Oryctolagus cuniculus: one gene and its partners. The protein of the gene in region 7 interacts with the protein of the main gene of each other region in a pairwise test. Links are inferred from orthologs where the notes say so. Each region holds a gene or a part of one and is shown on either strand. Other genes may lie near its edges.

Region 1 (2,872 bases), on a different chromosome or scaffold from region 7:
CACACACACACTGCCCACACTTTACCTCTCCAGGTGCAGCTGTGCAAGGGCCAGTTTTCGAGCCATGAGACCTGGAGAGAAAAGATGGAAAGCGACAGGTTGAGTTTGCAAGGGGAGTCCGGGAAGCAGAAACGTGTGGGCTGGTGAGCAGGAGGAGGAAGTGGCCGAGGGATCAGAGGGCTGGGCCAGGATGCAGCTCAGAGCCCACCACCACCCCCAACTCACTGCGGACAGTGTGGACCTTGCGGACGGCATAGCTGAGTCGGTTACTGAGGCTGGGCAGCCGGGCCACCGCCTGCTCCACCTTAGCCATGGTGCTCTGGAGGCAGACCTGGGAGCTGGAGGAGCACAGGCCGCTGACCGCTGACCCGCACCTCACCCCCACAGGGCCTGGGGCCTGCACAGACCCCTCCCCCCATCCTGCACTGTCGCACAGGTGGGGGTGGGGGGAAGCAGGGAAGGGAAACAAGAGAGGCTAGGGGTAGGACCTGGGGCACGTGTGCCCCAACCTCATGCCCTATGCTGCAGCTGCTAAAACAAAACCTGGGAGGAGCTTTAGCCTTTTAGCGACTGTCACAGAAATACGATCTGGTTGCTTATAAAAATATTTTAAAAAGCACAGCTATTCCTGGTCCCACAACCCATGCAGAGTAAACTTCTCATTTGGATCCTGAGAACCAGTGTCCCCAATAAAAGCCCTGCAATCAACACAGCAAGGTGCAAGGAGCCCCATCTGGCCCCGGGCGCCCCAGGCTGTAAAGGGCTCAGTGACAACAACGCCGCAGGGCCTGGTCTCTGCCTGATGGCCACTCGCTCCCCTGCAGGCCACGAGGCCGTCTCCAGGGCCTGGGATTCCTGGCGCTGGACGCCGCGCCACGTCTGTGGTGGAAGAACACGGCCCGAAGCTTCCATGTCTAAGGAGCCCCTGCCCCTCAAGAAGGCCTCAGACGACTGCCTTATCTTTTCAGGCAAACTCGGGGCTTCTTTTCTTTTTCTTTTTTTAAGATTTACTTATTTATTTGAAAGGCAGAGTTACAGAAATAGAGGGAGAGACATACAGGGAGAACTCTTCCATCCACTGGTTCCATCCACAGGGCTGATCCGAAGCCAGGAGCCTCTTCTAGGGTTCCCACATGGGTGAAGGGGCCTAAGCACTTGGGCCATCGTCTACTGCTTTCCTGGGCCGTGGCTTTACCCGCTACGCCACAGCGCCGGCCCTAAAGCTGATTTCTCACCACCTGGTCTTGGATCACTGCTGCGCAGCTCTCGAACAAGCCCAGGAGTGTGGTTTCCCTGACACGTGAAGGGCAGGTCTGTGAGTGGCATCAGCTGCTGGCCCAGAAGCAGAACCAGCACGGCCCATGAAAACTGAGGGGCTTCAGCTGGGAGCCCTGGGAGGAGGCCCAAGGGGAAAACGGGGGCAGGCCTGGAGCTTCCTCGGAGACGGAAAAACAAGCGGTGACCACAGCAAGTACAGCGAGGAACCCTTTCGGTGGGAGCGCCCAGCACAGGCCGTGGCTCTAAAGCCACTTCCAGGGGTGGGTGTGAGGAGCAGAGGTCAACAACACGGCCGCCTCTCGGGACGTCTGCATCGCACATGAGTTCAGGTCCCAGCTTCACTTCCAACTTCTGCTTCCTGCCAGTGCACCCCATGGGAGGCCGCAGCAGGTGACAACTCTGGTACTTGGGTCCCTGCCACCCACGTGGGAGTCCCACATCAAGTTCTGGGTTCCTGGCTTAGGCCAGGCTAAGCCCCAGCTGCTGTGGGCATTTGGAAAGTGAACTGGTAGACAGAAGAGCTATCTTTCTCTCTCTCTTTCAGTTTCTCTGGTTTTCAAATAAAAAATAAATTTAAGAAAAACTTTAAGATCCATCTTCTGACACAGCCATTGAGTCACCTAGGGACTGTGTCGCCAACCTGGTAACATCCCAAAGTTGGTGCTTTCTGGCAAGAACTCAGCGAGAACCCTGCCTGACCCCTGGGCACCACAGGAAACCCTGCCCCCGGCCTGTCTTTCTGCTCTCCTGGAGGCAGGCGCAGCTGCAACGGGCGGAATCTGGGTGCTGGCTCGCATACCCAGGCCGGTGCGGAGCAGGTTGCAAATGGCTCCCAGTTTGTTCAAGCCAATGGGTTCCCAAGGAGTGAATCCAAGAGAAGGCCGTGGCTGCAAAGGCCCATCCTGCTGACCCCCAGAACTCCCCTGATGCATCCAGGACAGCCCTGTGAGGACCGTGGACAGTCAGAGCACAAACTACACACCAGCACCGCACCAAGGGCTCCACACGGACCGCCTACCGCCCATCCCAAGGACCCCGGTGCCTGGGGAGGCCGCTACTAGCACGAAGCAGCTCTTTCCCAAGGCTCTATGACAGCCTCAGCAAGGCCATGACTACCAAGTCGGCATGAGGGACACGGGCTGCAACTGCCTTAGAAGGTACCGGGCCGGGGCTGGCGCTGTGGCACAGCAAGTGAGGCCACTGCCTGCAGTGCCAGCATCCCATATGGGCGCCGGTTCAAGTCCAGCTGCTCCACTTCCAATCCAGCTCTCTGCTGTGGCCTGGGAAAGCAGTAGAAGATGGCCCAAGTCCTTGGGCCCCTACACCCACGTGGGAAACCCAGAAGAAGCTCTTGACTCCTGGCTTCAGATCGGCACAGCTCCGACTGTTACAGCCAATTGGGGGAATGAACCAGAGGATGGAAGACCTCTCTCTCTCCCTTCCTCCCTCTCTCTCTCTCTCTGCCTCTCCTCTCTCTGTGTAGCTTTGACCTTCAAATGGGTAAATAACTCTTTAAGAATAAAAAAAAGAAGGGACCGGGCACGGCATTGCAGATGCGAGATCTAGCAGCAGGCATGTAGCATTACATGGATTA
Region 2 (4,300 bases), on a different chromosome or scaffold from region 7:
TCCCCAGCACCCTTACCCGCTTGTATCGTGCTTTGGCATCACAGAAACGATTCTGGCGGAAAAGGTAGTTGCCAAACTCCCGCTCCGTGGCTGCCACTTTTAGGACCTTCTGAAGTGGAAACTGGTCTTGCTGCTCCTGGAGACCAGATAAGAATAACCAGCAGTGGACCCCAAAAACCATCCTGCCCCGAGGGGTTGGCTCTCTTATATGACAAGCTGTCAACCACTTCCCGTGTGTGCAGAGGCCCCTCGCGGGGTGGGGCCGAGGCCAATCCACAGCTGGAGCCCTCCCACCCTGTTCTCCGAAGCAGCACTTGCCCTGGAGCTAGGAGCTGGGGGAACCCACCAAGCACAGGGATCAGGGCTCCCGGCCTCGATGCAGCCAACAAGCAGCGAATGGCGCTGCCATGCCCAGAGCCCTGGTAGCCTGCATGGTCACGCAGCGCAGCCCTGGCTACGTATCAGAATCACCCACAGGGCTCCCGGTCCCGGACCCGGCCCGGAGACCCTAAGTCGGGCACCAGCGGTGGAACCCGGATGTGCCAGAGTAAGATGCACTATCGTGCCGAAGCCAGCGCCCACGACTGCTGATGGGCTTGGCAGGCCCAGAGCGAGGCACGGGGCTGAGTGTCAGGCTGTGAGGCACAGTGACTGTGTACCCTGGCTTGCCGGGCCCGGCCCGGTCTCCACCCGCTGGCCCAGGTATCCCAGTCGGTTACCAGCCCCTTTCAGTCACAAGCCCCAGACAGGACAGTTACAGATGTCCTTGCTGAGACGCCACGCTTACTGCTGACGATGTCTCGTGGCGACAAGGCCAAGGGTGGCTGTGAGCCCAAGGTGCTGCCCCAGAGCCGACGGCGGGCACCAGGAAGCGGAGGTGCGGGGCCTGGGCCAAGCCTGCAGGGAGCCGCCCAGCACCCACAGCCACTTACCGCAGACAGGGCGCAGAACGTGTCCGACTCGGCCGAGTCCAGGAAGTCCAGCAGCTCGATCTCGAACAGGACGGTGGTGTTGGGGGGGATGAGGGGCGGGCAGCCCAGCGCCCCGTAGGCGTAGGTGGGCGTGAACAGGAACCTGGCCAGCTCTCCTCTGCGCATGCTCAGGAGGCCCAGCTCCATGCCCCACAGCGTAATGTCTGCAAGAGATGCCCAAGTGGAGAATTTCCTGCGGCCAGGGAGTGAGGCTGTGAATAGCCAAATGGCCTCTGGCAGAAAAAAGGTTCCCCGTGCGAGGTGCGGCTTTGCTAAGCACACCTGCAAGGCTGCTAACTCCTAGGCCCTCATCTGACTCTCCCCCAGGGGTCGCCTGACCATGGGTCAGTTTCCACCACCTGGTGAAGTCCTTAGTAGGAAAGCAGCTGCGGATCGTGGGCCTGGTGCTGTTGCATCAGTGGGCTAAGCCTCCACCCGCGGAGCTGGCATCCCACACAGGCACTGGTTCGAGTCCCAGCTGTTCCACTTCCAATCCAGCTCCCAGCTAATGGCCTGGGAAAGCAGCAGAAGATGGCCCAAGTGCTTGGGCCCCTGCACCCACGTGGGAGACCCAGCAGCTGCTCCTGGCTCCTGGCTTCGGATCGGCCCAGCTTGGGGAGTGAACCGACAGATCTATGACCTCTCTCTGTCTCTCCCTCTCAAATAAATAAACAAGTCTTTAAAAAAAAAAAAAAAGCTGCGATCTCGAGTAGTTTTCTCTCCTCCCAAGTATGTCTGCAAGACGTCCACTTGATAAACAGGACACAGAAGCCCACAGGCAACCTTGCCAGGCAGGCCATCTCTCAGACACCCAGGTTTCAAAGGCAAACACGGAGGGGAGGGGGGAAGAGTGTGACTGCCTGACCACACTCCAGCCTCAAAGCACTGGGCGGTGGGACCCCCACCCCGACCCCCGGCCGCCCCCCCGGGGGGGCATTTACCCTCTCCAAGTTTCATGAGCCGTGGAGACTTCCTAAAGCAATTGGAATCGAAGGGTTTGTCCATGTGCTCCAGGTAGCCAGAATATTTGACTGGGACCCAGAAGGGGAGGAAAAAAAAAAAAAAGAAAGAATGAAAATGTAAGGGAGCCCCCAGCAGAGACACCTGCTCCTTCTCCCACACAGCGGGGCCCCTCATGGGCTCTGACAAAAGGGAGATGGGGGATGGGCAGTGGGGGGGGATGGGAGGCAGGGGAGGGGGGTCCCTCCCGGGGGGAGTCCCTTCCCGTGAGGGGGGTCCAGGGGGTCCCTTCCGGGAGGTTTCGTGGGGGGGGGGGTTAGGCCCTCCCTCTCCCCCTATCGCAAAGGCAAACACAGCCGTCGCGCACGCGCCTTGTGAGCGCGGCCCCCGCCCCCGCGCCCACCCCAGAGGGCTCACGCGGGGGCCTGGTCCCCGTGGTACCGAGCACCGACGCGTCGGGCGTCACCAGCTCCCCGACGCCCTCCCGGATGACGTCCTTGAGCACGCCGCGGTCCCCGGAGATGTCCAGCATCCGCTGACTCAACCGCTGGTACACGGACTGCCGGAGACCGCAAGACGGCGGGCCTCAGGGCTCCAGCCCCGCTGCGAGCCCCAGGCCCTCGGCGGACCGCACCCCACGACCTTACAGCCCCCACCCCCACCCCCGCCACGAGCCTGCCGGGCCCTGCCCCACCGCCCCCATTTATACCAAGCAGTCCTCTCCCGACGGCGCCATGCCGTTCCGGGGCCGCGCGAAGCCGCTCATGCCGTTGCTGCAACCGCCGCTCGCGCTGTCGCACGCGCGGGGAGCACGTGCCTGGGGCTGGAACGCCGCGGGCACGTGACCGCGGTGTGCGCATGTGCGTCGGCCCGCAGTGGCGGATGGGGTGCGTGCTAGGGCTGATGGAGTGGGGGACACGTGACTGGGGCCACGCAGAGCGTGATGACGGGAGCACATACACCTTCGTGAGGGGGCAAGGAGCGCGCACCGGGGACGTGCGCGCCGAGGGCGGCGGAGCGCAGGTGACAAGGGCCGGCAGAGCCTGTGGCCTGGGGCGCGTGCTGGGGCGCAGGCCGTGGCCAGTGAGACGTGGAGCGTGTGGTGGAGGGCGTGGGGAGGGCGCCGGGAACCGGACGGAGGCGTGGCCGGGGGCTGGAGCAGGCTGGCAGGGGCGCGTGCTGCTTCCCTGCTCTGTTGCCTTTCGGGGGCCGCTGGGTCCAGGAGAGGACTTTGGGCGTCAAGCCGCCGGGCCCTGGGAGGAGAGGCGAGGTACCCCAGCTTGCTAAATAAGAACCTGCTGCACCTGCCCCTTGGGATTAAGGAGGGCTCTTGATTGGCTCCTGGCTGTTCCCCGGGTCTGTCTCTTGTCTTGACTTCGGGTTCATTTCCTGCGGCTTCTGCTTGCCTTAAAGCCTCCCCCCTCTCTTTTGTTGTTGTATTTGAAAGGCAGAGCTACAGAGAGGTCTTCCATCCACTGGTTCACTCCCCAGATGGCTACCACGGTGGCTGGGGCTGTGCTGGGATTCGCACGTGGGTGCCCGGGCCCAGGCACTTGGGTCATCTGGTGCTTTTCCCAGGCCATTAGCAGCGAGCTGGATCGGAAGTGGAGCAGCCAGGACTCACACCGAGGCCCGTGCCAGCATCTCAGGCAGCAGCTTTACCCACTCTGCCACAAGGCGGGCCCCAACAGTGGGTACACTTGATCACTCCGACCTTTAACTACTTTTTTTTTTCTTTTGCTTTCTGAGTTTTTATCACTGTTGCAACAGAGTAGCACGGAGCTCTGCAGGAAACTACACCTGCTTTAGTAGAAGTCCAGTGCTGTTCTCCCCAGCCTAGAATCAGAGTGGCAGCAAGGCTGCCGATGGACTGGACACTCTGGGGAGAATCCAGCTCCCTGCAGGTCCCCGTCTCCCTGTTGGCTGTCACCTTTTTATTTATCTATAAATAAAGAGGCCACACTATTTATTTATTTATTTTAAGATTTATATATTTATTTGAGAGGCAGAGTTACAGAGAGAGGGAGAGACAGAAAGAGAGAGATCTCCCATCTGCTGGTTTACTCCTCAGATGGCCACAGTGGCCAGTGCTGGGTCCCAAGCACTTGGGCCATCAGCTGGGAGCTGGATTAGAAGCAAGGCAGCTGGGACATGAGCTAGCACCCATATGGGATGCTGGCATCGCAGGTGCAGTTGTACCTGCTACCGCACAATGCCGGCCCCTTGAAGTGTGATTCCTGTGGGGGGGGGGCAGGGCGGCCTCTTACTGAACCTCTATCCTCTCTGTTCAATGCCTGACATTGAAACCTCAGGACATGAGACTGGAGGGGTTGACAGGGAAAGCCAGCATTCGTGGGCGCTACTGGAGG
Region 3 (4,040 bases), about 15 Mb from region 7:
TCTTTTGAGTCTCCTCATTCATGTTTTCAACAAATAAATACTGCAATAACTAACAAAAAATTAGTAGAAAGCTGGGCAAGAAACTTGACTTTTCCTTAAAAATAAGTGGGACGGGCCGGCGCCGTGGCTCAATAGGCTAATCCTCCGCCTGCGGCGCCGGCACACTGGGTTCTAGTCCTGGTCGGGGCGCTGGATTCTGTCCCGGTTGCCCCTCTTCCAGGCCAGCTCTCTGCTGTGGCCAGGGAGTGCAGTGGAGGATGGCTCAAGTGCTTGGGCCCTGCACCCCATGGGAGACCAGGAGAAGCACCTGGCTCCTGCCTTTGGATCAGAGTGGTGCGCCGGCCGCAGCGCGCCGGCCGGGGCAGCCATTGGAGGGTGAACCAACGGCAAATGGAAGACCTTTCTCTCTGTCTCTCTCTCTCACTGTCCACTCTGCCTATCAAAAAAAAAAAAAAAAAAAAAAAAAAGACACTGGTGGGGATGCCTGCAGGCCATATTGGAGTGCCTGGATTTGAGTCTTGGCTCCACTCTGGGTTTCAGCTTCCCGCTAATGTGGATCCTGGGAGGCAGCAGTGGTGGCTCAGATAATTGAGTGGTGGCTCAGATAATTGCGCTCCCACTACACATGTGGGAGACTTGGATTGAGTTCCTGGCTCCTGGCTGTGGCTAGCACCTGGGGAGTGAACGAGAGAATGAAGCTCTGTTTGTCTCTGTCTCCATGACTCTCAAATAAATTTTTTTTTTTTTTTTTGACAGGCAGAGTGGACAGTGAGAGAGAGAGAGACAGAGAGAAAGGTCTTCCTTTTGCTGTTGGTTCACCCTCCAATGGCCGCCACGGCCAGCGCGCTGCGGCCAGCGCACCGCGCTGATCCGATGGCAGGAGTCAGGTACTTATCCTGGTGTCCCATGGGGTGCAGGGCCCAAGCACTTGGGCCATCCTCCACTGCACTCCTGGGCCACAGCAGAGAGCTGGCCTGGAAGAGGGGCAACCGGGACAGAATCCAGCGCCCCGACCGGGACTAGAACCCGGTGTGCCGGCGCCGCAAGGCGGAGGATTAGCCTAGTGAGCCACGGTGCCGTGGCTCAAATAAACCATTTTTTAAAAAATATTTACTCAATAGGCAGAGAGACAGAGAGAGAGAGAGATCTTCCATCTGCTGGTTCAGTCTCCAAATGATCACAACGGCTAGGACTGGGCCAGGCCAAACTTCATCCTTGTCTCTCACTGGGAGTACTTGGGCCATCTGCGGCCTTCCCTGGCACATTAGCAGGAAGCAGATTGAACGTGGACGTGGACTAGCCAAGGCTTGAACTCGTGTTTGATATAAGATGCTGGTGTCACAAGCAGCGGCTTAACCTGCTACACCACAATGGTGGCCACAATAAGTACATTTTTATAAACTTATTTAAAACATTTTTTAAAAATAGATTTTTTTAGGGCTGGCGCCTTGGCTCACTTGGCTAATCCTCTGCCTGCAGCGCCGGCATCCCATATGGGCGCCGGATTCTGTCCCAGTTGTTCCTCTTCCAGTCCAGTTCTCTGCTGTGGCCCAGGAAGGCAGTAGAGGATGGCCCAAGTGCTTGGGCCCTGTACCCGCATGGGAGACCAGGAGGAAGCACCTAGCCCCTGGCTTTGGATCTGCATAGCTCCGGCCGTAGCAGCCATTTAGGGGGTGAACCAACGGAAGGAAGACCTTTCTCTCTGTCTCTCTAACTATCTGTCAAATGAAAAAAAACATGGCTTCTTTCGATTTTCACCCTAGCTTCATTGAAAAAAAAAAAAGATTTATTTATTCATTTGAAAGGTAGAGAGAGAGGAAGAGACAGAGATCTTCCATCCACTGGTTCACTCCTTAAATGGCCACAACAGCTAGGACTGGGCCAGGTGGAAGCCAGGAGCCTGGAACTCCATTCAGGTCTGCCACATGATTGGCACAATACTGGCCCCAATAAATACTTTTCCAATAAAGTAAAGCAAACATCGGCTTGCCCCTGTGTCCCGTCAAGAGGGAGGAAAACAGGGGGAAATAAAACCGTACAGTCTGGTGGACTAGCCGAGTGGCCACTAGGAGGCTGATCTCTATTTGCTTTGAGCACAAGGCTGCTTCCCCTCCTCATATTCCTTGATGAGACCCTGACATGATGAAGCAGAGTTGGGAGGGGGCAAAGCCGAAGGGTCGGAGAAGGGGAGGACATAGAATTACCTGTCAACCATCTTCTTAAAGTCCGTGAACCTTTGAAAATTCTGCAAGAAAAGAAGTTGTGCTGACCTGCCGTGATCTCCAGAACCTCAGCCTCAGTACCCTCTTGCAGTGGGAGACACACAGGCCTTCCTCCTCGGAGACAGGCAGTGGTCAGATTGTAGGGGAAGGAGAAAGCAAGCTCTCCACCTTCACATGCAGGGGCTGGGGTATTCACCTATTTGAATACCTACTAAATGCTGGACAGTCTTCCACTCCTGTTAGTAACTTCATCCTTCTGTGACATCAAGGGCCTTTCCCAGTAAATGGTGCACTTCTGGGCAATTGGCCTGGAAACCTAATTAACATACTTTCAGCCCAGCCCCTCGCCCAACTGCACGTACCTCTTCTGTCTTCATCATCTTTTCCATGGACATGTCTGCAGACTTGTTTGATTCAGTCTTAGACTGAGTAGGCTCTCCTTTCTGTTTAGCTGTCACCGAGGTTTCAGTAGTCATAGCAACATTTCTGCCTCCCAACAATGTCCCTGAGCCTGCCAGTGGATTGGTCACCCAGCCTGTTGGCCTGGAGACCCGAAGGTAATCCTGGGTTTTAGCCTTTTATTAATGACACAGGCAGCTCTGTGAGCAAGTGCCACTGTCCCTATTTCAGGATTTCTTTTGTTGGGCTTCTCAACTTACCTGTATAGTCCTAGGTCCAAGGTATACAGAGCCCCAACAGTTCTCTATAGGCAAATGTTCATACCTTATCAGGAAGGTGCAGAGAACATATCGTATACCCATTTTTAAAGACTATTCCATGTGAGCACTTGGTCTAGCAGTTAAGATGCCCTCGTTCCACATGAGAGTACCTGGGTTCAAGTTCTGGCTCCCTCCCTGATCGCAGCCTCTTGCTGATGCAGACCCTGGGAAGCAGCAGGTGATGGCTTGAGTGGTTGAGTCCTTGTCACCCATGTGGGAGACTTGGAACGAGTTCCAGACTCCTGGCTTCAGTCTGGCCATTGTGGGCACTTAGGGAGTAAATGCCCACTTTTAAATATATATACACATACATATTTATATAGATATATATATATATACACACACATATAAGATTTTATTTGAAAGGCAAAGTTAGAGAGAGAAGGGGAGAGAGAAATATCTTCCATCCACTGGTTTACTCTCCAGATGGCTGCAACAGCTAGGGTGGGGACAGATTGAAGCCAGGAGCCAGGAGCTTCTTCCAGGTCTCCCATGTGGGTGCAAGGGCCCAAGTACTTGGGCATTCTTCTGCCATTTTCAGGCATATTAGCAGGGAAACGGGACTGAAGTGGAGCAGCAGGGACTTGAACCAGCATCCATATAGGATGCCAGCGTAGCAAGCAGAGGCTTAACCTGTTTCACCATGTATATTTTTAGTAATTCATCTTATTGAAGTTATTGTATAAAATCATATCAGTGCATTGGGAAAACCATTTCTTCACACACATAGCCTGGAGTAAATTATGGCAGGTGTCAGAAAATTTTTTTCACAGCATATTTTTAAAAAATTTGAGTTAGAGGGAGAGAGATCTTTTATCTGCTGGTTCAACCTTCAGATAGCCTCAATGGCCAGGCTGAAGCCAGGAGCCAGGAGCTTCACCCACTTCTTACATATGGGTACAGGGTCCCAAACACCAGGGCCATCTTCCAGTCCTCTTCCAAGCCACCACCAGGAAGCTGGATTGGAAGTACACTAGCAGTGACTTGAACCGCCACCCATACGGGATGCTGGCATCACTGGCAGCAGCCTTACCTGCTACACCACAACTGCCTAGTGGATAGGATGAGTCTTGTCAGGAAAGCTGTTAATCCTGGTTTA
Region 4 (3,928 bases), on a different chromosome or scaffold from region 7:
TTCCCGCCGCCCCCACCGCGTCTGGAGCTTCCTGGGATGGAGAAGACAATCTGAACTACTGAAATCCCGCCACCAACAAGGCCACCCCTCCTTCCCTGCCCCCACCAGAGACAGCAAGGTCCCCTGGCCAGGCCGGAATGTAGAACCAGCCCCGGCCCACGCCACCCACCCCCCGGCTTGGCCACTCAGAAGCGCGGAATGGCGGGGCGGGGCTGAGGCTTCGCACCAGGAGTACCCTCGCCTTCGGCCAGTCTGCTCGCTTCCCGCCGCCCCCACCTCAGTTCCCCTGGGCTTAGAGCCGCTGGGCCAGGCCCTCGGAGCCCCCGCCTGCACACCTCCCCCCCTCCCCACCACCCTCCGAGCCGTGGGCGGGAGAGAAATGGGAACCAGATGGGCTAGGAGAAACCCAGGGGGAGGTGGGCTGCGGAGGGGGCTCGGCCCCGGGGAAGGCGCCCCTCCGGCCGCAGCCAGACACTTCGGGAGCACCCGGTCTCTGCTCGCCGCCCGGACTCATAGGTGTCCCAGAACGGTATCCTTATCCTACCTGGGACACACAGCGGCCGAGGAGCAGGGCCCCGTCCTGGTGCAATGGGCGGCGGCGAGCAGAGGAAAGCGGGGCGCACCCTCCCCCCCCCCCCCGCCGCCGCCGCCCCTGCTGGCCGGACTAACCAACCTGGCGCGGCAGAGCCGCGCACGCCGAATTGGTGGCTTCTAGCATGGCCCGCCCATCCCTGTTTAAAACTTCAGCAACGACCCGAGGCCGGCAGAGATGGAGGCGGCCCGGGTCTCCGAGAGCGGCCCCTTCCAATCTTTTCGTTTGAGGGCAGGGGAAGGGCTGGGATACCCAAGGGATCCTATAGCGCAAGACTGCTGGAGGAGAGGCACGCGCTGGAGGAGCCGCGCGCCCTGAGCCCTTCGCCAACTTTCGCCGGCTGGCTCTCCGCATCCGCACGTACGGCAGCGCGAGGCCTGCGTGCGGGTAGCGGGCGTCCGCGCGGTTGTTGAGGCGCGTGTGCAGTCCTTGCGCTTCCCCGTGTCTTTGTGTACCTGTGCGTGGTTGTGCAACTCCTCTCTCCTCTCGGAGAGGTAGGGGTGGCGGGGGGGTGGGGGGGAGTAGGAATGTCGCCGGCGGGGCGCTCACGTGGGTACGTGGGTGCGGAGAGGGCCGGCTGTGCATCCGGCGTGGGCGGCATGGAGCGACCTCGCCCCGCCCGCCGGGCCCCCAAGCCCGCCCTCCGCAGCCCGGCCTCGGTCACCTCGGTCCCCAACTCGGCTCCCCGGCTCCGAGTTCCCGCCCCCGCCTCCCGCTCCACACCCCCTCCCCCCCAGTCTCCGCCTTTCTCTGTCTCTCCGCCGCGGCGTCTCGGAGACCGAGAGGCCCGGGCGCCCGCCCCCCGCCCCCGGCCCCAGCCCCCGGCTCTGCCCACGCCCTCCGCCCGCCAGCCCGGCAGCCAGCGCAGCGCGGGGCCTCGCTCCCCGTGCGTCCTGCGGGGGTGGAGGCGCTGAGAGGCGGCGAGAGCAGCCGGGGAGGGGGGGTAGAGGCACAGACTGAGGCGCGGAGGCTCGGAGAGAGAGGACGTGGAGGGAGGGACGGAGCCTGGACAGCGGTGGACACGGCATCGCGCGCAGGGAAGAGCGCAGCGCGCAGCAGGCGCCGAGCGCCGGGCATCCGGAGGGGCAGCCTGGGTGGTCTCCGGCCGTCCATGCACAGAGCGCCCTCCCCCACAGCTGAGCAGCCGCCGGGCGGAGGGGACAGCGCCCGCCGGACCCCGCAGCCCAGACTCAAGTTAGTGGGCAGAGGGAGACAGCGGGGAGTGGAGATGGGTGGAGCTGGACTGGGAGTGGGGTCCGGAGGGCGGAGGTCGCGGCGAGGACGTGGGGAACCGGGACGGGGGTGGGAGGTGGAGACTGATGAAAAAAGGGGGTGCGTCTTCGAATGAAGGGACCCTGGGAGCAGCCGAGGATCCGCTGCAACTTGATGTGAAAGAGCGGCACCTGATTCTCCATTCCCAGTTTATTCGGTGGGCCTGAACTGGCGTGTGAGCCCCCTGTAAAGACTGTGGGAGTCCGCAAGTGCCAGGAGAAGCCCAAGGACTGGAGTTGGCAACAGTACCCGGTGGGGCGCATTCAGCCGGCTCAGTCTGCAGCTGGCGCCGAGCGCTGCCCCCCCCCCGGGGGGGGTCCCGCACACGTCGGCGCCTTTCAGTTACGGGAATAGCAGCAAAGCCCTGAGCAGCCAGGGGGTGCCTTCGGCGTCCTTTGCCCCTGCTGCCCCTTCGTTCACAGCGTGAAGAGGGGCGTCTGGGTGTGCAGCCGCTCCCCCACTCCACTTGAAAGTGTGGGTGGAAATTAAGGGAGGCGAGAGTAGGCGGGAGCCCCTAGGCGGGGTTCGCCCACAGACGCTACCGCTGTGGGAGTGTGTGTGGGCGGATTGGCCCCAGAGCAGAACAATCGAGCTCCCCTCCCCTCCCCCACCGTCTGAGCTGAAGGGACAGAGGGGAGTGAGTGGGGAAGGTCACTGCTTGGAGAGGGGCCAGCGGGGCGCGAGGGGAGGTTACTGGGCAGCATGGGAGGGCGGAGGGGGCGGGGTGGAGAGCTAAGGTGCATCAGGAGTGCCTGATCCCTGGGCTAGCTGAGGGGCACAGGAGCAGGGGTCAGCCTGGCTCCTAGTGGGAAGACCAGGGAAGGGGACACACCCCTCCCTCCCAGCCACCCTGGTAGAATGCCCCCAAGGGAGTGCAGGTGGCTCGCAGTGGTCCCCAGTGTCCACTGTGGGAAGGATGAGTGGGACATTCCCCTTAGTGTGTGATGTCACTTGTGTTGAGGTGTTTAGGGTGGAAGGTGAGGGCCAAGTGTTTTGGGGGAGAGAGGGAGGGCCAGCCATCCCAGGGGTGTGCCTAAGGTCTTCTTACCCCTGCCAGAAAGGGCAAAGCTGAGGATGGGGTGGGGGTGGGGGCGGTGAGCCTTTGACTCCCGCCAACAAGGCCCTGGCTTTGGGTGCTTCTGGCTAGTGTGGGATGTAGTGGCATGTCAATGCCTCCGAGTAGTGCCCAAGTCTCAGAGTCTGTGCTCAGTGCTGGGCGCTGCTGGGCAGAGGGAGAGAAGAAACCGACGGAGAGAGAGAACAATTGTTAGTGTGGGTTGGTACCCAGCCGGGGGCCTTGCACTCACTGTTTCTCTCACGCCCCTCCTTCTCAGGCCCAGTGCCCGAGCCATGGCACTGCCTCGGACGCTGGGGGAGCTGCAGCTGTACCGGGTCCTGCAGCGGGCCAATCTCCTCTCCTACTATGAGACGTTCATCCAGCAGGGAGGGGACGACGTGCAGCAGCTGTGTGAGGCCGGCGAGGAGGAGTTCCTGGAGATCATGGCACTTGTGGGCATGGCCACCAAGCCCCTCCACGTGCGGCGCCTGCAGAAGGCACTGAGAGAGTGGGCCACCAATCCAGGGCTCTTCAGCCAGCCGGTGCCTGCCGTGCCTGTCTCCAGCATCCCGCTCTTCAAGATCTCCGAGACTGCGGGTACCCGGAAGGGCAGCATGAGCAATGGACACAGCAGCCCAGGAGAGAAGGCGGGCGGTGCCCGCAGTTTCAGCCCCAAGAGCCCCCTTGAACTTGGAGAGAAGCTGTCGCCACTGCCGGGGGGTCCTGGAACGGGGGACCCCCGGATCTGGCCGGGCCGGAGCACTCCAGAATCAGACGTTGGGGCGGGAGGGGAAGAAGAGGCTGGCTCACCTCCCTTCTCCCCACCTGCAGGGGGAGGAGTCCCTGAGGGGACTGGGGCCGTGGGTCTGGCAGCGGGTGGGACTGGGGGGAGTCCAGACCGCCTAGAGCCAGAGATGGTGCGCATGGTGGTGGAGAGCGTGGAGAGGATCTTCCGGAGCTTCCCCAGGGGGGACACCGGGGAGGTCACGTCGCTGCTGAAGCTGAAT
Region 5 (4,254 bases), on a different chromosome or scaffold from region 7:
GGCAGACCGGCCGAAGACCTGGGAGCTCTGGGAGTAGCCACTTGTTATGCTGCCCACACTGGTGAAACTCAGTCGGGTCTCCTCACCTTCCAAGAGTTTTCTGGGGAGACCAACAGAGGGTAGGGTTAAAATTAAAACAACCTAGGAAGTGTATTTAATGACTTGCTCTAAGCCCACCTCTCATCTGTTCTCCCAATGCCATCCTACAGGCAAATGCAAACAAGAGAGGGCTGGGAATTACCAATATCCAATGGCTAGGAATTTTATGAATGAGACTGGGGGTGGGGGGATACAGAATAAAGTACGTTAAATAGTTCTATTAGATTTTAAGTGTAATGAGAAGCTAAAAACAGGACTTAATATTACAGGGTAAAGTTCTTTGATATTTGTCTAAACACTTGCTCCTTCGAAGAAGCAAACTAATCATAATAATATCTCATTTCAGAGGGCTATTGCAGAAGGCTTCTGGTTCAACATGATCTAAATGGCATCTGATTTTCTTCCAAGGCTTTCTGGCTACTACCTTTGCCCTTCTGTTGTTACCTGTAAGCTGCAATCTCAATATCCAAAGCCATCTTCACATTGAGGAGGTCTTGGTATTCTTTTAGGTATCGTGCCATTTCACTCTTTGTGGTTCTCAATTCATTTTCTAGTTTGTTGATCGTGTCCTGTTGGAAGACAGAAAAAGAAGAAAATCTAAGCATCAATTCCTACTGCTATCATTTTACTGTAGCTCAGTTACAAACACTCAGTTTCAGTTAGAGTCGAGGGGCACACCTTTAATAAAAATCTCCCCTAAAACAGCTGCTCACTCTTTTTTGAAAATATTTCTCGCCTAAAATATCCAGCTTCATGAAGCATGAGAAGAAAAAAAAAAAACTAAAGAAAGAACATTCCTTTAAGACAATATCCTCAACTAGTACAATCTAAGGAGCATCAGAATATGCCTGCATGGAAACTAACTTGACAGAAAAGGCTGGATTCTCATTTATGGGTTAACTCCACTTTAGCCAGGTCACAATCCAGAAAATTCATCCATTTCTTCATAAGAGAAGGAAGTAGCTAAATTGCTTATACTTTCTCTAAAATATTTCCTATATTTCTGCTCCCCAGCTAGTTACCCAAGACAAATCTGTCTGGGTTCCTGTCCACCTGCTAAGGGGAGGAGTAGCTGGTACTTAACCAGTCATAAAATATACTGGCCACAGTAACCTTTCGGGACTAATTAAGACTTACTCGCTATGGTTATTAACCAGGTGATCCCACTGGTGTTGCAAAGTAACTTCAGGTGAATGCAGGTAGGTAGATGGCCCGACATCCCTGCAGGCCAGGGCAACGCCCTACTCCCACCTCTCCCCCGCCCCCGCCTGACCCCTCCCACGCTGGGCAGCTTCAATGCGGAACTCAGACTCCACTGCACCACTCACACACCCAGACTGCAGTAGCGGCCCCGCCCCACCCAAGGGCCCCGCCCCTCCCACACCGTCCCCTGGGAGCACAGTGCGACCCCTACCAGCCCTGGTCTCCACTTTTTGGGCGCAGCTTCAACTCTCCCCCTGCCCCGACCCCCGCATTCTGCAGGTCCCCGCCCCCGCCGTGTTTCGCACCAGGCCGCACCTGCATAGCACTGATGTCGGCGTTCTGCTTGTCTTCCAGCTCCTGCAGCTGCTTCTCCAGCGCTTCGTTCATGCCCCGGCATGCTTCGATCTCCAGGGTCTTGGCCTTGAGCAGGCGGCGGCTCTCGGACACCTCGTCCTTGGCTGCGCGCACGGCGTCGGTGTTCTTGGCGGCGCTCTCGGTCAGCACGGTGAAGCGGCTCTTGAACCACTCTTCGGCGTTCTGCATGTTCTTGGCGGCCAGCTTCTCGTACTGTGCACGGATGTCCTTGAGGGCGGCGGAGAGGTCGGGCTTGGAGGACACGTCCATCTCCACGGAGATCTGAGCGTACTGGATCTGCGCCTGCAGCTCGGCGATCTCCTCTTCGTGCACTTTCTTCAGAAAGGCGATTTCGTCCATCAGGCTGTCGATGCGCTTCTCCAGCTCAGCGCGAGCGAGTGCCGCCTCGTCAGCGCCTTTGCGCGCCTCCATCAGCCTGCCTTCGGCGTCCTCCCGGCTCAGCACCTCTTCCTCATAGCGCGCCTGCAGGTTGCGAAGGGTCTCCTCCAGCCCTTCGCGCTCGCCCTGGAGCGCCTGCTTCTCGTTGGTGGCGTCTTCGGCAGCCAGGCGCAGGTCGCGGATCTCCTGCTCGTACAGCGCCCGGAAGCGGGACGGCTCCGAGTGCTTCTGGCGCAGCACCAGCAGCTCGGCTTCCAGGACCTTGTTCTGCTGCTCCAGCTCGTGCACGCGCTCGATGAAGCTAGCGAAGCGGTCGTTCAGGTCCTGCAGCTGCGCCTTCTCCTGCGTGCGGATCGACTTGAGGTCGTTGCTGATGGCGGCTACCTGGCTCAGGTCGAGGTTTTCCAGGCTGGGCATCAAGGAGCCGGAGCTGGAGGAGTAGCTGCGGCGCACGGACAGCGAGGAGGAGACCGGTGCCGAGTAGCTGGAGTAAGCGGAGCGCGCGGTGCTGTAGCCGCTGCGCACGCTGGAGATGTGCACCCGGGGCGTCTCCACGTAGCGCCGCTTGTAGGAGGTCGAGTAGTACGGCTCGTAGCTGAACGAACTCATGGTGGCGGCCGGTGCCCCTCTGGCCCGCGGCCGGAGATGGGGCCTGGAGAGAGAAAGAAGGACGGGGGAGAGAGGGAAAGGAGAGGATGGATGGCTGTGTGCGGCTCGGCGCCGTCCTGCCACCCCTATTTATACGCCGCGAGGCTTCTGACGCAGCCTGCGATCGATCCCGGCGCGCCGGCCAGTGGGGGCAGCGCGCTGCTGCAGCCAAGGGGAGGATTCTGCGCAAAACGGAGGGCGGGGGCGGCGGCGCGGGGCCGCTGAGCTGCGGCTCTTCTCCTTTGCACTTTTCTCTGAGGCCCTTTCTGTTCTCTGAGACCCTATATCCCCGCACCTGTGTCCTGTCCTTTCCCACCCAGCCAGCCGCAGCCTGCTTACCCCGGGACCCACGTATCACTCAGATGCTCAAGTATCCCCAGCCATTGGTTCTCGCCGCCCACTGACAACTTAGTTTTCCATAACCCGGTACCTCTCGGAGACCCTGGCCCGCAGCCCACCGCTTCCCACCAGGGACCTCTTTGATCACCCCTCTTCCCCACTTAGTGTTTATGGCGACGGTGCAGTGTCGCTAGTGGTTTGAGAGGAGAATAGGCTGTGGTTGCACGTATGCGGCATTTAGCGAGGAAAGTTTCGCGTTTCTTTGCAGTTTTTCTGGCACTTTCTTTAATTAATCTACCTTTCTCCTGGGCCCCCTGACCCCCGGAGTTGGTGGGCTGCTTCTCAGCCCACAGGGTTCTGCCCCCCTACCTACACACGTGCGCGATTGCGGCGTGCATTGCAGGTGTTACCTTTTATCATTTCTAAAGCTGTAGGGCACTGCCTCTGGCTTCCTAAATTTTCTTCTTTGTGGGGAAGAAAGCCTTGGAGGCTTTCGGTGTGTTGACGACGCGGGTAGACGGAGGGAAGCAGAGGAAGAGTGACGCTACCAAGGAGAAGACCCGCTTGCTAGGCGGCGGCTCGCTCTACGGCGGGCAACTGACTTCAGGCTGCCTGGCTGGAACTTCCCCGAGCTAAATCCCTGCTTCGTGGACTTGACACTACCGACTCCCTCCTATTAAAAGCCCCCTTGCCCGCTTTGTACACCTGTGTAACACCCAACCTGATGATTTCGAAAGGCCATGCAGGTGGCTGATTTTCATAGGGAAGCTGCGGCGGCCAGCCTCAGGCGTCGGGTGTGGTCTCCGGAGAGAACTCCTGGAGCTTGCAGCCAAAGCAGCCGCGTGATTCCTCCGTCGGGTCGCTATGTTAGGTAGATTAGAAAGGCAGTCAGAAATCTATGGGTTTCTTATGGAAAGCACCCGGATACCTGAAACAATGTGCACGCCTTACAGCACGTGGATACGCCTTTCCACAGGGGTTGTTTGGAGTTCTACGGGTTCATGGGGAGAATTGCAGAGATTTACATAAAATCCCTAAGGTTTTTCTAAGCATGCTCTTAGCTTTTGTTTTATTTGCATGACAGCATTTGACATCAACTTGATTTTTTTTTTTTTTACAGAAGCAAACTTTCCAAATGGAGAAATCAGAATCTCTTTGCCTGTGATATGCTTTCCCTGAGTGGTACCACAGTTGCTTCCAGAGGCACTGCAC
Region 6 (3,970 bases), on a different chromosome or scaffold from region 7:
TGCCGGACACCTCCGTGCCTGCACTTCTTGGCTAAGGGATGAGGAGAGGCAGACACGCAGGAGGCAGAGGGTCCATGTCCGAGTTAAATGAGACGGGAAACAGATCCAGGGAGGAACTGAAGGGACCCCTCCCACTGCTGCTGCAGCTGCACTGCCTAAGCCCACCCTCTCCGTGCACGGCAGCCCATGGAGACCCTCTCGCCTTCCCCCCCTCCCCTTTGGCTCCTGCCAGCCCCTGTGCCTGGACTGTCCCTCCCTTCATCTCAGCACGTGCAACCCTGCGCCGCCTCCTCCAGGAAGCTTTCCCTGGTGCAGAGGTGACCTTTTTTGCCCTGCGGGCCTCCCCAGCAGCGCCCATCACCTCCTCCCCGGCAGTGGCCCTTCCTTCCCCGGCCGGTCTGAGCCCATGCTCTCCGCTGTGGCCAGAGCATGCCTTTGGCACACTGGCATGCCTGGGCACCCAGAACCAGCGCCCCTCACCTGTTCGCTGGGCCGGCGACGTGCTCCTGGAGGCGGCCCCAGAGCCTGGATGACTCCTGGCCTGGGCTGTGGGGGGCTGTACTGGGGGTAGGCCAGAGGCCTGGCGTAACTGCCGGGCCCCAGGAAGTGAGGCTGCACCATCCACTGCACCTCCTGGCTGCCACTCACAGCGTTGATGCTGGGCACGAGGTGGAACTTCTGGGGGAGAAGGAACGGAGGGCCAGGGTGAGGTCTGCGTGGCTCAAGGAGGTCCGAGCAGAGAGACTCTCCCGCCGTCCACCCTCCGTGCAGATGCCGGTTCTGGGAGACCAGAAGGAGCCCGGCTTGGCAGCCAGAGACACTGATGGGTGGCAAATCCCTGCTCACGAGCTGTGTGACTGTGGGCAGGGCACACAACCTCTCTGCTCACTGCCAGACACCTTCCTGGCCACAAACACTGACCCATGTGCTTGGCACAGCAGGGGCTCCATTTGCAGAAGCTGGGCTCTCGGCCCCTCCTGTACCCATCCCCCTGGGGGGACAAGGACAGCCCCGGAGCGCCTGCGGTGGCTGCGAGAATGGGGCGAGGGAACGGGGGAGACACTGCTCAGCTCTGCTCAGCCACTGACAGGGGACTCAGCGAGCTATTTCATCCCCGTGTGCCTCAGTTTCCCATTTTGCTGTTATCACAGAGGAGGATCGCAGCATTTCATTGATGCTAAGAAGTCTAGCAGCCGGCGTTGTGGTTGTGGACATAGTGGGTAAAGTCCCTGCCTGCAGTGCCAGCATCCCATACGGGTGCCGGTGCCGGTTCCGGCTGCTCACCTGGGAAAGCAGTGGAAGATGGCCCAAGTGCCTGGGCCCCTGCACCCATGTGGGAGACCCAGAGGAAGCTCCTGGCTTCAGATCAGCTCAGCTCTGGGTGTTGTGGCCATTTGGGGAGTGAACCAGCAGATGGAAGACCTCTTTGTCTCTGCCTCTCTATAACTCTCTTTCAAGTAAATAATTTTCTTAAAAAAAAAAAAAAAAAAAAAAAAAAAAAAAAAAAAAGGAAGTACCAAGCCGGCGTCGCGGCTCACTAGGCTAATCCTCCACCTTGCGGCGCCGGCACACCGGGTTCTAGTCCTGGTCGGGGCGCCGGATTCTGTCCCGGTTGCCCCTCTTCCAGGCCAGCTCTCTGCTGTGGCCAGGGAGTGCAGTGGAGGATGGCCCAAGTACTTGGGCCCTGCACCCCATGGGAGACCAGGATAAGTACCTGGCTCCTGCCATTGGATCAGCGCGGTGCGCCGGCCGCAGCGCGCTGGCCGCGGCAGCCATTGGAGGGTGAACCAACGGCGAAAGGAAGACCTTTCTCTCTCTCTCTTTCTCACTGTCCACTCTGCCTGTCCAAAAAAAAAAAAAAAAAAAAAAAAGGAAGTACCATCTAATAAGCTCTGAAATCAGACACACCAACTTAAACAACTTAGTGACACCAAATAATTGTGGATCTTTTACTCCACGGGGTCTTAGATTCCACGAAATACGGTAACGGAGGTGCCCAGTGCCCAGCGCCCAGCACAAGGCTGGCATGGCTGTCAGTGCTTCCAGTGCTAACTGGGACCCTTCTCTTTCTACCAGAAATCTGAGGACTGGGCTGGGATGGGGGCGCCTTGTTCTGGAAAAACTGGGTTCCAGCCCTCCGGACGGGCCCTGGGTGTGGGCGCCTGGTCGGCCGGGAAGCGCCCCGCAAGCCCAGGCAAGTCCTCGCAGTGCGAGCCCAGCGGCCCAGCGACCCCAGTTCCGGGCCCGCGGCACTGCCGGCGGCGTCCCCAGCTCCGGAGTTTGTCCGGGCCCGGGCCACTCGGGGCCAGGAAGGGAGGGGCGCCGCGGGTGACTCAGCCGCCGTGACTCGGCCGCCGTGACTCGGCGGAACGGACGCCGCGCCTTCCCTCCCCTGGCGACACGTGCTCGCCGCCCCTCGACAGGAAATGGGCACCTGCAGCTCCCCAAGTGCCCCCAGCCTGCAGTGGGCGCCGTTCGGTGCCGAGGGCAGGGGCGCGCGAGCTGTCCCTGGCGTCCGCCCCGGCACCTGGCCCAGTCTCTGTCTGAGTCCTTCCGCCACGGGGTGGACAGCCGGCCACCGGGAGCCCAGAGGGTCCCACCGCCCCGGAGCCCGGCTGCACCGCGCAGAGGAGGGGGCTGGAACCTGACGTCGCGGTAGACGGGGGCGGACACACAGGAGGTCACCGACAGATCCCGCCTTCCTGCTGCGTCCAGGGGTTCCCGACGTATCCCAGGCGCGGGATGCCAAGGGGGAGACGTCTGCTGACCGCCCGGGGCTGGGACATAGCCCGGACGTCATACGTCCCTTCCGAGGCGGGCGGGACGCACAAATGAGCAGTGGACCGCAGGTAAGAAAGAAGGTTCCCGGGAGGGAAGAGCCGGCGGCAGGGAACGAGGGGGCGGGCGCGCGTCCCTCTGGGTTCTGGGGGCAGCTGGCCCCCGGACTGCGGAGAATGGGCAGAACCCGCGGTCCCGGCCCCAGGCTTCGCCGCTTCCACAGCGGGGCGCGCGGGGACTGCCTCCGGGGTCCCAGGCGCCGTCCCCCCGCCCTGTCCCCAGGGACCCCGGTGTGCCTCCCTCTCACCTGCGGGGCCGCCGCCTGCGCCGCGGCGGGGGGCTGCGGGGGGCCTCCGTACGCGCCGCCGGCCCCGGAGCTCGGTCCGGGTTCCCCGAAGTCTCGGTACATGCCCTGGGCTGGCGGCTGCTCCGCGCGGTCCGCGTCGGAGGCTTGCGTTCTGACTCACGCGCACCTCGCGGAGTCTTCGTTTTATGAATGAAAAGTTGTGGGGCTGAGCCGCCGGGACCGCGGGGGGCGGGGCGTGCGCGGCGGCGCGGGTCCCCGCGGGGCTCCACCTCTCCGGACGCGCCGCCCCGTGCCTGGGCGCCCTGGGCGCCTCGACACCGCCCACCGTTCCGGGGGGAAGGGGCCGCCGAGGCGTCCCCCGAGCAGCCGCCGCGCCGGGGCCGCCCCTCTGACGTAGCTGCCCATACATGGTGCGGTTTCCTCGCCGCGCCCAGGTGCGGCCGAGGATTCCCCCGCGGACTTACGCACCTGCCGGGAGCCTGCGAACCCGCTCGACCTGGGCCGGCCTCGGCGAAATAGAACGAAGCCGACGCGTAGCAACCTTGCCACGCCGGGGAGGCTGGGATGAAGAACGTGGACCCGCTGGAAGCCGCCAAATGGATGAGAAAAAAAAAGAAAAAGAAAAAAAAACCACACGTGGTACCTAATTCTGGCTCTCACGATTTGCTGGAGGCCACGTGATGCTCCTCTGCCGCTGCTGTCCCTAGGCTCCAGGGGGTAAATGACAGGCCCCGCCGAAGTGGTGGGGTATCTTAACTCCCCCCCCCCCGCAAAGCAGCTAGCGCTGTGACCGGTCCACAGACAAAATGTATTATTTGGGGCGACCGCAGGAGCGACCACAAGTGTGGATCCAGAGCCCCCGCAGGCAGTGGGCGTCTCTCGCGG
Region 7 (3,973 bases):
GACAGCCACCATCCTCAGTTGCTGATGGAGAGACCCCATCTTCACAGCCATACAGACACCAGAGGCTAGACGGAGCACGGTTGATTGCTCTCCACCCTTCCTGATGAAGGACTGACATCCAACAGCATAGGAGAGATGCTGGATACAGAAAGAAATGTGATCATTTCACTCTAGCCAATTTTCGCCTCTTGTTAAATTCCTTTCTTTGCCACACATTAAGAACACTGTCATTAGATGAAAAGACAAATCTGTATGCTTCTGATTTTAACTGCTTTGCCTTTTAAAGTATATGTTGCTCTAAGTATATAGTATCTTGAACTTTGTGGATCATGACTCACAGTAATATGTTTTATGTCATAACCCAGTACATTCACAAAATATATACAATTTAAAACAAAAGTTCATGAAAGCTACCCTCACGGCATGCAGTAGATGTGGTAAGTTTCTATGTTAGTCTTCTTTGTTAATGCTGGCTACACACCACAAATCTACTTCATGACAGAATAATAGGTCACCTCCAACAGTTTGAGAAACATAAGCCTCGCCAAGTAGATGATATATAGCTAGACAGACAGACAACAGACAGTCTGGCATCTGCATACAGACTGTATCTCATGTTATTCTGCCCCATGTACCTCCCAAAGCAGCTAACCCTGCACCACCTCACAACCCAGTTTCTATTTTTGTACTCTATTAAACCATAAGTTGCTCAAATTTATGCTTGCCCCTTTCTGCCTCAGGAACTGTGATCTTGTTAGTGCACCCTGAAGATCCAGATCAGCACGTTTTGTATCATTTAGGTCTCAATACCAAAAGTCCTTTCTTCAGAAGGGCCTTCACTGACCATCTAATTGAAAGAATCACCAACCATGAAACCCCAGCCAGGATGGGAACAAAGAAGGCAGGCAGAGCACTTTACTGCTGTTTGCTCTTAGCATTGCCGGAAACTCTGAGTGAAAACAGCAAACAAAGCAAAAAGTAGCAGACAGGAAAAATAAACAGTATTTAATGAATGTCACTTTTCAGCTCCCTATGCCACTGCACAGGTCATTGAATTCTAAGCACTGATATTCTCTACCATTTGCCACATGACGGCTTTAACGATGCTCTAGCTGAGAAGTGAGGACTCTGTCCTGCAATCTCCTTCTCGTTCAGACCACTTACCTCATTCTTTCCTCTTCTCTTATGCATTCAGCAAACATTTGAGTGCCAAATATGCTCTAAGCAATAGCAGTGAACATAGTAAACATCTATACCTCTAACAGTTCACAGTTTAGGAAGGGTGACAAAGCTATAAACAAATAATTTCAAGTAAAGGTGGTATCTACAATAAAAGAAATGTGTACTATATACAGTGGTGACAAGAAAGAATAAACAGTTACCTCTTGTGGAGTGTAGGAAAAGCCATGACAGAAAGAGAGACACTTAAGCTGAGTCTTGGAAGGATCAATAGGAGTTTCATATGCAAGAAAAGGGAAAAGGGCAGAAGCAGTACCATGTGCCAAGCAGAGGGAAGAGACATACTGCCAGTTTGAAGTTGTCTGCTATGTTCAGTAGTAAGTAGCTAAAAGGCAAACGGCTAAAAGGAGTATCCAGGAAAGGGACAGCCAAGAAAGAAGCTAGAAAGGTAAGTGCTAGCTTGTGGAGGGCCTCTTGTGTGCCATTCCAAACTTTACTGTAGGAAACGGAAGTCTAGACTTTCAAAGAGGTGAGTAGCATTAACAGATGGGAACTTAGTAACTTCTTCCTTGTGGCAGAAAAAACGATAGATTAGAAAATTGCCAGACCAGACTGTAAAAGAAATGAATATAATAGCTAACGTAAAAATGAGGAAATTCTAAACAAAAATAATGACCAATTGAATATGGGAAATGTCAGAGAAAGGGGAATGTAGGATGTCACTGATTTCTAGTTTCAGTTATAATACAGTGGTATCATTAAATAACATGGTGAAAAACAGGAGAAACCAGGCAGAAAGACAGCAAAATCACTTATAGGCTTATTGAAAATGGAAACATGGAGCCTCATCCCTATTCATGCAAAAATTTAGGAGGGAAGCTCAAGCAAGTGAATTCTAGAAGCTCTCAAGTGATCCTGAAAGTTATTCCTGTTAAGCAGCACGGACATAGCAGGTAGTCAGCTGGATGCAAGCGAGCCGATCCACTCTACAAATATGATTAAGGGGCCTTTACAGAGTGTGGGGCAGTGCTCTGGCACTCCGCGGGGCAGACTCCAGGCCCTAGCGAGATTCGGGCCAGTGTTGCCACAGTCACCTACACACCACCATCTGCCTTTTAGGTGGAACGTTACTGTGAAGTCCACAAGCCTGAAAAACGCACTGATGAATAATGCATACCCAAAAGAGGAGGCTGGTTTGAAATAATATCTCACCTGAGGCTCCGCGTCTTAACCCTAAACTTTCTGTTGCCTTACTTTAAGGGCTTACGGTAATATTAGAGCGGAATTCAGGGCGCTGCAAGAAACAGAATGGGGAGAATGCAGGGACAGCCCACGGCAAATGGGGGAGAGAGAATGGGGAGAAGACAGGGTTGCGGACGCCTCCGAGGGCCCATCGACCCAACACTTGCGAAGCTGCGTAACCAGGAACCCGGAGCGGCTCTTCTGGTCGGCCTTAGCACTCACCATAGTTTCAGGATCTCAGCACGAGGAAGCCGAGTTGCCCCAGGAAGGCACCGCCATCCACACCATCATCCGGTTACTCTGGCAACAGGGCCCCGCCCCCTGCCGGACACCCCGGGAGACGTCAGCGGTCAGCCCCTTCGTCCCTAGTGGCTGGGAGTCCTCGCAGTGACGCCCAGCTCATTGACAGATCCGCCCCTTCACGCTGTCTCCTGGGGCGACAGGACGCCTCCCGCCTCTTGCCAGCATTTTCACTTCCGTTTGGTTGGCAGATGACCCGGAAGTTTAAGTTAACACGCGGCTAGGCGCCAAAGAGCGCACTATTTTATTTTGAAATAAACCCCTCTCCAGCTTTCCATTGATGAGGCGAGACGCTGTATCGTCTGCGTTACTTGAATTTAAACGCACCACAGACTGTGTGTTCTCGCCTCTGTGGGAAGAATATTCCGGAAGTGAAACCCTGGGTAATCGGAAGTGATCATGACTGACACAGCGGCTGGTTGTCCGGAAGGCCTGGGCGGGTCTGCTTCGGCATGGGCGAGGAGCGAATCCGGGAACCTGTAACGTGAAACCGCCGAAATAGAAAAGGAATCCCGAGGTAACTTAGACGATAGGCTTGTGTAACTCCGAGGTGACGCTGGAGAGGCGCGCGCGTCGGTCGGAGCTCGGTGGCCAGTGGCGTCGGGTATAGAGAAAGAGTGGACCGGGGAGGCTTGTTGTGACAGGAACGAAACTTGGCGTTGGAATCCCCGGGACAGCCACGCCTGCAGCCTTGGTTCCTGGGCATCCTGGGTATTTGCCGTCAGACTGGCTGCTCCTGTACGTTTCGCAGCCGGTCTTCAAAGCGCGGTTTCAGGACTCGGTACGCCGGGTGCCTGTTTTTAGAGCCGTGGAATATAAGTGGAAGAGGGTTTGTGACTGTTGAGGAACCTGTCTTGGGAGGCCTTAGACTCACTGATCGTTTTTGAAGCCGGGAGTGACCTGTTCTGTTCATCACATGAGTGCCACCCTCCTTGGCATGTTTTCCGGTAAATCTGAGTATACTCTAAGGTTGTGCATACCTTTCCGAAAGTATCTGTTCCATGTGTATTTCTCTCTGTTGTTAGAAGCAACATCATTTAATTTTTTTTTTTTTTTGACAGACCTAGTGACAGAGAGTTAGAGAGAGAAATATCTTCCATCCCCCAGTTCGCTCCCCAGATAGCCTCAACGGCATGAGCTGAGCCATCAAAAGCCGGAGATGCTTCTAGGTCCCGCACGTGGGTGCAGGGTCCACTGCCTTCCAGGCGCGCTAGCAGGGAGCTGGATCAGAAGTGGAACAGCTAGGACTCGA

What was found.
Region 1: the proteins of NME7 (region 7) and CCHCR1 interact in binary tests that used the Homo sapiens proteins (3 or more experiments, as listed by UniProt). The link is inferred for Oryctolagus cuniculus from reciprocal best matches to the Homo sapiens genes NME7 and CCHCR1.
Region 2: the proteins of NME7 (region 7) and FKBP6 interact in binary tests that used the Homo sapiens proteins (3 or more experiments, as listed by UniProt). The two-hybrid records come from large-scale screens. The link is inferred for Oryctolagus cuniculus from reciprocal best matches to the Homo sapiens genes NME7 and FKBP6.
Region 3: the proteins of NME7 (region 7) and CFAP141 interact in binary tests that used the Homo sapiens proteins (3 or more experiments, as listed by UniProt). The two-hybrid records come from large-scale screens. The link is inferred for Oryctolagus cuniculus from reciprocal best matches to the Homo sapiens genes NME7 and CFAP141.
Region 4: the proteins of NME7 (region 7) and NAB2 interact in binary tests that used the Homo sapiens proteins (3 or more experiments, as listed by UniProt). The two-hybrid records come from large-scale screens. The link is inferred for Oryctolagus cuniculus from reciprocal best matches to the Homo sapiens genes NME7 and NAB2.
Region 5: the proteins of NME7 (region 7) and NEFL interact in binary tests that used the Homo sapiens proteins (3 or more experiments, as listed by UniProt). The two-hybrid records come from large-scale screens. The link is inferred for Oryctolagus cuniculus from reciprocal best matches to the Homo sapiens genes NME7 and NEFL.
Region 6: the proteins of NME7 (region 7) and FOSL1 interact in binary tests that used the Homo sapiens proteins (3 or more experiments, as listed by UniProt). The two-hybrid records come from large-scale screens. The link is inferred for Oryctolagus cuniculus from reciprocal best matches to the Homo sapiens genes NME7 and FOSL1.

Annotation. Positions count from the first base shown.
Region 1 is NC_091436.1:139,347,023-139,349,894, reverse strand, and holds part of CCHCR1 (coiled-coil alpha-helical rod protein 1), read right to left. Parts: intron 339-2,872; coding exon 226-338; intron 72-225; coding exon 26-71; intron 1-25. UniProt on the Homo sapiens protein: May be a regulator of keratinocyte proliferation or differentiation.
Region 2 is NC_091450.1:50,639,309-50,643,608, forward strand, and holds the start of FKBP6 (inactive peptidyl-prolyl cis-trans isomerase FKBP6), read right to left. Parts: upstream 2,801-4,300; 5' UTR 2,698-2,800; coding exon 2,641-2,697; exon of another isoform or gene 2,491-2,640; coding exon 2,349-2,490; exon of another isoform or gene 2,289-2,348; intron 2,003-2,288; coding exon 1,913-2,002; intron 1,136-1,912; coding exon 933-1,135; intron 137-932; coding exon 17-136; intron 1-16. UniProt on the Homo sapiens protein: Has an essential role in spermatogenesis. It is required to repress transposable elements and prevent their mobilization, which is essential for the germline integrity.
Region 3 is NC_091438.1:44,196,539-44,200,578, reverse strand, and holds the start of CFAP141 (cilia- and flagella-associated protein 141), read right to left. Parts: upstream 2,801-4,040; 5' UTR 2,699-2,800; coding exon 2,585-2,698; intron 2,246-2,584; coding exon 2,205-2,245; intron 1-2,204. UniProt on the Homo sapiens protein: Microtubule inner protein (MIP) part of the dynein-decorated doublet microtubules (DMTs) in cilia axoneme, which is required for motile cilia beating.
Region 4 is NC_091442.1:59,719,723-59,723,650, forward strand, and holds the start of NAB2 (NGFI-A-binding protein 2), read left to right. Parts: upstream 1-1,128; 5' UTR 1,129-1,703; coding exon 1,704-1,786; intron 1,787-3,198; coding exon 3,199-3,928. UniProt on the Homo sapiens protein: Acts as a transcriptional repressor for zinc finger transcription factors EGR1 and EGR2. Isoform 2 lacks repression ability.
Region 5 is NC_091433.1:49,228,057-49,232,310, reverse strand, and holds the start of NEFL (neurofilament light polypeptide), read right to left. Parts: upstream 2,801-4,254; 5' UTR 2,665-2,800; coding exon 1,618-2,664; intron 669-1,617; coding exon 544-668; intron 101-543; coding exon 1-100. UniProt on the Homo sapiens protein: Neurofilaments usually contain three intermediate filament proteins: NEFL, NEFM, and NEFH which are involved in the maintenance of neuronal caliber.
Region 6 is NC_091432.1:5,875,060-5,879,029, reverse strand, and holds the start of FOSL1 (fos-related antigen 1), read right to left. Parts: upstream 2,801-3,970; coding exon 2,645-2,800; intron 679-2,644; coding exon 481-678; intron 1-480.
Region 7 is NC_091438.1:29,352,343-29,356,315, reverse strand, and holds the start of NME7 (nucleoside diphosphate kinase homolog 7), read right to left. Parts: upstream 2,801-3,973; 5' UTR 2,647-2,800; coding exon 2,644-2,646; intron 1-2,643. UniProt on the Homo sapiens protein: Possesses an intrinsic kinase activity. Displays 3'-5' exonuclease activity with a preference for single-stranded DNA. Does not seem to have nucleoside diphosphate kinase activity.